2 linked regions of the Schizosaccharomyces pombe genome follow. The protein of the gene in region 1 purifies or fractionates together with the protein of each later gene. This does not show direct contact. Each region holds a gene or a part of one and is shown on either strand. Other genes may lie near its edges.

The links.
Region 2: the proteins of deb1 (region 1) and cid12 purify together in Schizosaccharomyces pombe (affinity purification with mass spectrometry; one study listed by BioGRID). This does not show direct contact.

Annotation. Positions count from the first base shown.
Region 1 is NC_003424.3:3,534,561-3,538,488, forward strand, and holds the start of deb1 (DNA-binding transcription factor Deb1/Rdp1), read left to right. Parts: upstream 1-1,934; 5' UTR 1,935-2,066; coding exon 2,067-3,228; intron 3,229-3,424; coding exon 3,425-3,699; 3' UTR 3,700-3,928. Other genes in the region: protein tam5, read right to left, coding at 1-178, 317-406.
Region 2 is NC_003421.2:1,653,826-1,657,753, forward strand, and holds the start of cid12 (poly(A) polymerase Cid12), read left to right. Parts: upstream 1-1,820; 5' UTR 1,821-1,843; coding exon 1,844-2,854; 3' UTR 2,855-3,256; coding exon of another isoform or gene 3,257-3,691; 3' UTR 3,692-3,805; coding exon of another isoform or gene 3,806-3,928. Other genes in the region: splicing-associated factor Saf1, read left to right, coding at 51-887; NatA N-acetyltransferase subunit Naa50, read right to left, coding at 3,257-3,691; trp663 (TRP-like ion channel protein), read right to left, coding at 3,806-3,928. UniProt on the Schizosaccharomyces pombe protein: Has a role in the RNA interference (RNAi) pathway which is important for heterochromatin formation and accurate chromosome segregation.

The sequences.
Region 1 (3,928 bases):
AATGCTGGTATTCCTCGTCTCCAGTCCCGAGATTGACAGCTCTTTTTTGTTGTTTTCCGAACATAGGATCTACCCAAGCAATAGAAATTCGAGGTTTCTTGAAAGTCGGAGAATTTTGATTTGATAAAAGGGAAGCAACTGAAAAGTCCGATTTATTTTTCAGTAGAAGTGAAAATGCCTAATATCATTAGTAAACTTTAATAAAAAGGAATCATTAACAAAATAGATGTTTCATAGGACATAAGTAGCAGATAATGAGTGTTTTCAACAGTTGGGAGAAAAGCAACAAATTCGCCCAACGAATTTATAATCTTACTTCATGTGATCGGATCTGTAATTGCTTTTGCAATTGTTCACGAGTTTCTAACGATTGTAGAAGAGAAAGGACATGATCATTGGTGGACATTAGAAATTTGTTAAAGAGAAATATAAAAAACAGCAATAAACTAAAATGATGAGGGATATTGAGTGAAATTGGGTAAATGCACTAATTCGATGGATTTATTCCAAACTCTTCAAGGTTAAAATGCAGAGGAAAGTATTAATAAGGTTTCCACATAGCTTGAAATGTGATGAGTGAAAGATGAAAATCACAACAGGTCGAAAGGTAGGTAAAGAAAAGATGAGGAAAACGAGTCAAAAGGAGAATGACAAATTGATTATCTCAGCTTTTACAGAGGTAAAAAATGTATGTAACATATGGCATTGAATTCGTCGTTCATTGGAACAACTTTTTTTTTACTTGGCCTGCTAAATACTGAGGGAAAAAATGACAATACTTTTGATTAAGAGTATTGATTTTTCTTTTATTTGAAAAAAATTCCCATGAATTTTTTGCTTAATGCTTTGAATTATTGGCGAGTGCTTGATATTGAATTATCGTGTTTAAGCGCTGGACAGTTTCATGGGCAAATACGACATATTTTTTCTTGTTAAGTATTTTTCTATTTCCTTGAAAATCTGATGTACGCAACACATACTTTTGTAACAAAGACAACATTGTTGTTTGTAAGAAGACCTAAAAATGGATGTCCATTTCCATCGCCTCAAACTTAGTGTTTCCCCCTTCTCATATGGTTAAAGATATTTCAAAATAATGTTTATTTTCTTTTGTTGGGAGTCTTTACTGCTTTATAGAGTTTTCATAGGACACCTTACGTAGACTCTTCCTTCCATCAGTTGAAGACCTAAATTGTGTTTTTAAATCTTTTCATCCAGAAAAAACTACAATTTAAAAGTCTTTGCACTTTTAAAAGCAATTGGTCAGGATTCCCTCTATGACAGATGTAAACAAAAAGGGAACTTGTGCAACAATCTGTTGAATTTTTAATTATATGGTTTCGCATTTCCTATTCCTGCTGCAAGTCAGGGCAGTTCTTCACATAAAAAGTAAAAAACCACTGAAAGCAAAAAAATGAATGAGTATATTGTGTTCAGCTAGGAATACCCATTTTTCATCTTCCACCCCGGATATAAACAAACATCTAGCCAGCCAGGTTCACAGAACTTCACCAATCTTTTTCACGTTCTTTTTTCTTTCAACATTATAATGTTATTTTAATATTATTTTTCTCTTCCCACTTTCCTTACTACTTCTTTCTCTATAGTAGATATCAGATCAATATACCACGGTCCATCGTATCGCAATAAATGCTTATCGCTCTTTACCGATCTTTCTTGTAAACAAAGCAAAGACCCACCAACGCAGATTGTGTATGATTTCCTCACAAGAGACCTATTTTTTATCGGAATTTTTATCTGCTCCATCATTCTATCGATCCCAAGTTAGTCTCTCTTTGCCTCCTCGCTTTCTCCTGCTAAATTTAGGACTTTTGTTACCCTTGGAATGTCACTCCTGTCATCCTAATGAGCCACATTAAGTCTCGTTAATATTTTTTTGCTACCCTTTTGCTACCTTCATGCTACTTACCACCAACACCTCCACACTGCATGCGAAAAATTTGATTTTGACTGAGCAAAGCAAAGTCGAGTGTGAGGACGTATTTTCCGGAGATATTTAAAGCTAACGATTCAAACTGAGTCGAAATTTTTTGTTGGTAAAGTCTATGAGTGAGCACTCGCCAGAAGCCTCGTCAACGTACGCTCAGGTCACAAGCAATGATGAGCTCTCCAGTAACAAAATTTACATGAACGCTGACCAAAACAATAGTAGAAAAAAGGAGATGGATGGGAGCTTGCAAAACAATGGAGGCCGTTTGCAAAACGTGAATCCGCTTGGTGGGAACGAGAGTATGAGTGCAGTCGCCACATCAGCAGCGTCGTCGCTGCCTACTGCGGAAAATGGGGTTTCTTTGAATGCGGCTTCACCCACCATCCATTCCAACACTCCCACCGTCGTATCGCATCCTGTTATGAGCGGAAGTGAGCTCAAGGGCGAGGAATCACATAATTCACCAGGTACACTGAACGGGACGTCTGTTGCTAACGCCTCCAAGCAGCCCAACATGCCTAATGCCACCTTTCGCTGCGACAAATGCGACATGATGTTTGTCAAGCAGTCGGGCCTCACGAATCACAAGCGAACGTACCATCAAGTAGAAACGGTTGTCATTATTGGCCATCGTAGGTACGTGTGGAGACGAAATGAAAACGGTCGCTTCCAATGTGTGTGTGGTCGCCAGAACTGGCGAAGACCTGTCAACTTTGCCTCTCATGCCAAGCAATGTCCCAGTTTTCTTGCAATGGACCCAAATAACATTCCTCCTGAAATTAATAAAGTCTCCCCCCACGATGATCTGAGACCACTCTCGGACTCAAGGCGTCGCGCACGCCGTCCACATCCTTCAGATACCATTCCGCCAGGCGCCTCTATGGCACGTTCTGACCCTAGTCAAGTGCCTGAATCCAACCCCTCTGCTGCCGCAGCCGTCGCCGCAGCCGCCGTTGCTGCTGCTGCGAACCTAACGAACGGCGTCAATCCCCCAGAAGTCCCTAGAAACCTGAACAGTTCTCTTGTCGATGCCGCTGAGTCTCTCGCTAATGTTTCCCAACAGCAACATCATCGTCATCCTTTTGCCCGTCAACCAGATTACTCCGCCCATTCCATTCCCCGTACCGCTGCTCCTTATGCTCCCTCTATGAATATGTTTGCCCAAAACGGCCCCAACACTTCTCTTTTACCAACTGCTATGCCTTCAGATGTTTCCATATCTTCTTCTCTCCAACAACAACCCATCCATCCATCCTATGACTCTAGGTTTTCCAAAGGTATGTTTTTTATTATTAATTCGCTCCATCTTGTATAGTTTGATAGATCTTTGTTGGATATAAACAAAAAAAGACTTGGTCTTGTTAAAGTTGCTTTGCTTCCAATTATTCGTTTTACGGTTGAATTGGTGTATCCTTCACTCATCTATCAGTTTGTTCATACGTAATTCTTCTTTTTTCATCAGTTAACCTTTAGCTCCTCAAGGTACAGATGCCCTTGCTGCATTGGGTTATGGTACGCCTTCATCTGCTGCCACATTATGTCCATTGTATCGAGATACTCCAGCTGCCATTGTCAGTGAAAAGCTACATTTACGTTTAGCAAATCTTCGCATCGCTTACTGTGAAGACTGTCGTGAATTTATATCTCTGAATGCTGCTCTGGATCATCGTCGTTCACACCATCAACAAAATATCACGGGTGACCTTGTGCACGTATACAGCGATTTCTTAGACTTCCAGAATTGTTAGAAAATGTTGCATCTTCTTATATTTGATCAGTTTTATATGGATTTTACCAACTTGCTTTTTGGTTTTAATTTTGTTTCTTCATTTTTTCGTTATATTAAGGTTTTCCCTAATCACCATGTTCTCTTTACAATTTTTGTAAAGTATCGGAATTACATTCGTCAAACCAGCGTTTATGATAAAAGATCATCCTATTCTAATTTTGCTATCGATAGCCCTTGTGCCCAGAAAA
Region 2 (3,928 bases), on another chromosome or scaffold:
CGTTTTTGATCACCACCATTCTAAACCCATACTATACTTGACTCTACAGAATGCTGTCAAAACGGGGATTAAATCCCGTTCAAGCGGAGAGCAGAAAGAAGAAAAAAAGAGAACAAATTAAAGTGCGAGAAGAAAGAGCAAAACGCCATGAAGAACGACTGTCGCATAGGAATATGAGCCAAATGGAACGCCAATTATCAGAGCTGACACAATTAGAATCTTCGCAAGCTTTAAATGCACATGACAAGCAATTATTACAAAATTTGCAAAGAGATATGGCAATTATGAAGAAGAAAAACATTCATGGACATAGAGTTGGGCGTGTTGAGTCAGACAAGACTAAGGAGGCAGAACGTCAACATAAACCTAGAAAGCCTTTTATCCCTAAAAACCCAAAACGAAGTATATATTATGATCCAATATTTAATCCTTACGGAGTTCCGCCGCCAGGAATGCCTTATCGTGAGAAGGAAGAACTAAGTTCAGAAACAGATGAATCCGTTATTGATATACCTTTACCTTCTGAAGAATATCCTTTTGAGGATCCAAAGCCAAGGGAAAAGAAAAATAAGAGCTTTAAGCCAAAGCACCACAAAAAGCAAGACATAAATGCAAGTTCAGCACAACCAAAATCCACTACTACGACAGAAGCTGCTGCAAATACGAAGGACATTGAAGAGGAAACTATGATTGAGTACTCAGCTCAGCCGGTAGTCAGAGATTTACGACAAGAAGCTGCTCAATTTTTACCTGCTGCGTTTCAACGACAAAAACTAGCCAAGGGGCAGAAAATTGGACAGCCAGACAGGGATGTATCGAGCCAAGTTCAGGAAGACAAGGATGAAGAAATAGATAATTTCTACAAAGAAATTGGCGGATATCTATAAAAAAGTCGTTAAAATTATGGAGATTGGAAGTAAGGATTACCAAATGGGTGTAGACGGAATTTTTAGTTAATAAACATGCATATTAATTTATATATAATATCTGTTTACTAGGTTCAATTTTAAAGGAGCTTGATTGCATCTCTGTACTTGTTTTTTTGTTTTATTCAATTATGAGTGAGCTTTCATAAGTTAATTCAAAGGCTTATTATTATGATGCGGTCAATAATTTCAAATTTTTGATGTCCAAAAAAAACAAAGGAGATTTTGTTTCTGTGTTATTGCATGATATTTATTAATGTTTTCTTGGTTCAATAATTCCTTATTATAGTCACTTTTACACTGCTTGAGCGAAAGGGGATTTCAAAAAAACACCTTATATTCATCTTTCCGTGATTATTTCAAGTTGACTGTTTTTTGTGAATTTGTCTTTTGCTAAATTATGATTGTTACACTTAGTCCTACACTGTTCATTACGAATCAGATTACCAAAAAGAAAGAAGTACATGACTAATTACTTGGATTAATTTTATTTTATTTTCATATGTATTTAGACGCCATGACAGTATTTACATGCGTAAACCAACGAATTCGTTTATCAAATAAAAATATCATAAAGGAAACCTTTAAAAATCGAAATACACATGCTTAAGTTAAAATTTGCACAATGAGAGATGAGGGAGTACTTATCTATCTTTTGCTTGCTTTTCTTGGGTTCATAATCTTTGGTTTTCGCTATAAATGCTGTATGAGACTAGGAAGCTTTTGCAGTCAATCATTCTATTATTTATAAAAACAAATAAGTTATTTATTGATTAAAAACTCGTGATACTTTTTTTTGCTATAAAATGATTTATTTACATATAATTACAAGGCACTCGCACGACCTCGTTATGTGCGAGGAGCCATGAAATTGAATCCATTGATATTAAAATTAGCCAAAATGCCATTTCTTAAGAATGGGTAAAGTCCTGTTAGAGCTGCATTCAGTACCATGGAATGAAGAAGGTTTGAGTGATAATGCTCGACTTTATTCATTTTTGGAGTTCGTAAGCCCGAAAATCGAGGAATTGAAGTACAGAAAGCTTTTGTTAGAGAAACTACAGACTCACATTAGGGAGGTCGTTTTGGATGCTGAACTTCAAGTATACGGTAGCATGTATATTGGAACAACATTATCTATAAGTGATGTAGACGTATCTTTGAAGTCACCTCGAGTTGGAGAATTGGAGAAACGACGCGTCACCATGGTTTTAAGAAAGTACTTGGATGCTGATGCTGATTTCCATTCTAGTGCCAGAGTCCCTCGCATCAATTTAGTAGATGTTAGTGGAATTGGGGTGGATTTGACGTTTGGAAATGACAAAGCTTGCAGAACTGCTGAATTGCAAAAAGCTTATAACGAAGAACACCCAATTTTTGGTAGATTGCTGATGCTATTGAAGCACTGGTTGTTTGAAAGAGATTTGGAAAACGTTCATCATGGCGGGATTGCAAGTTGCGCGCTCTCTTATATGCTAATTGGTTGGCTTGAAATGCGATTTCACAAAAAGGGAATTGATTCGGAAGTGCAACCAATTCGAGCTTTACTACAGAAATTCTTCTATTTTTGGGGAGTCGAATGGACATACGAACTTTTTGTATTGAGACCTTTAACCGGTCAAATAGTTCCTAAGCTACAAAAGGGCTGGTTAAACGAAGTGCAACCAAATTTGCTATCTATTGAAGATCCAATTGACAGAAATAACGACATTGGAAAGCAATCATTTCAAATTAGTATGATTAAAGCTGCATTTGTTGCTTCAGCTAATGAATTATTATCCGATAAGACATGGTTTAGCACCTTTGCAATTACGGAAGATGAAATGTTTTTGTGTAAACAGTTTGAAAATGTTATAAATACTAAACGAAGTTTGGTGGAGGGATATGATAGTGATACGGAATCAGATGAATTACAAGCTGGCGGATAACTGCGGGTTAATGCATTTAAAAAATAATGCTCGCTGTTTAAATAAACATTTGTTTTTCAATTCCTAAGTTGTCTTGCCGCATGTGGTAATGTTTCACTACAGTTCGTATGTACTTTACTCTTGTTTAATTGAATGGATTCATATTCTTATTATTGATAGGATATAAGAATCCTACAATTATCTTAGTCATTTTCAAGTCTTTTAATTTTACTTAGGCAAGGTTCGGCTGTTTCAAATGATATCACATTTTGTACCTATTGAAGGTGCTAACAAAATCTGTTCTTTAAAAATTTCAAAATTAAATCTATTTTATTCTTTTAAAATCTATCCAAGGATCCATGTTAGATTTTCAAGTCAATTTAATAATTGCATTTCACTTAGATTAATAAATGTGTGTGCAATCTATAGCTTTTTCGAAAGAAGGACGCTATCTTCTGTTTTGGAGCTCTCATCAATAATGAATCCCCGATGAATAAACCATTCGGATACATCGAGTTTAGGGCTTAATTTAATGTAAATTTCTTTGGCTTTTCCCTCAGCTGCAGTCTCGCAAGCATATTCCAACAGCTTGGTACCAATAGAACGGTTTCGATAGGCTGGCAAAACTGCCAAAGATAAAATTTGGATTTTGTGCGATTTATTATGTGTTTCTTTTTTGCATCTAACAGCTCCTACGCAGACCTGGTTAAAGTACGCATATTGTGCTAAAGGCCCGACTGAGATTGTGTCTTTGTAAAAGGAGGTTGGAAATATAATGATTTCAGGATCAAAACACTTTTCGTTAATAACTTCAAGGATTTTCAGATTATTAGGGTTAATCGCATCAAGTTCAATCATCTTTTTTATGCAAATGCAAATATCTTTTTCTATATGTACTTGGTGTTGTCAACTTTCAGTCTTTAAGGCATTCTAATGCAATAGTTTGAGTTGGAAACATCCACGATAAAATCTTTAAACAGTACGCTGCATTTCATTAATCCCGTTGTCACATGAATGTGAAGGTATTGTAGATGCTGGTCGCATAGGAGAAGCGTTAACAAGGCTGAAGACATCGTCATTTCCATCTTCCTTTGT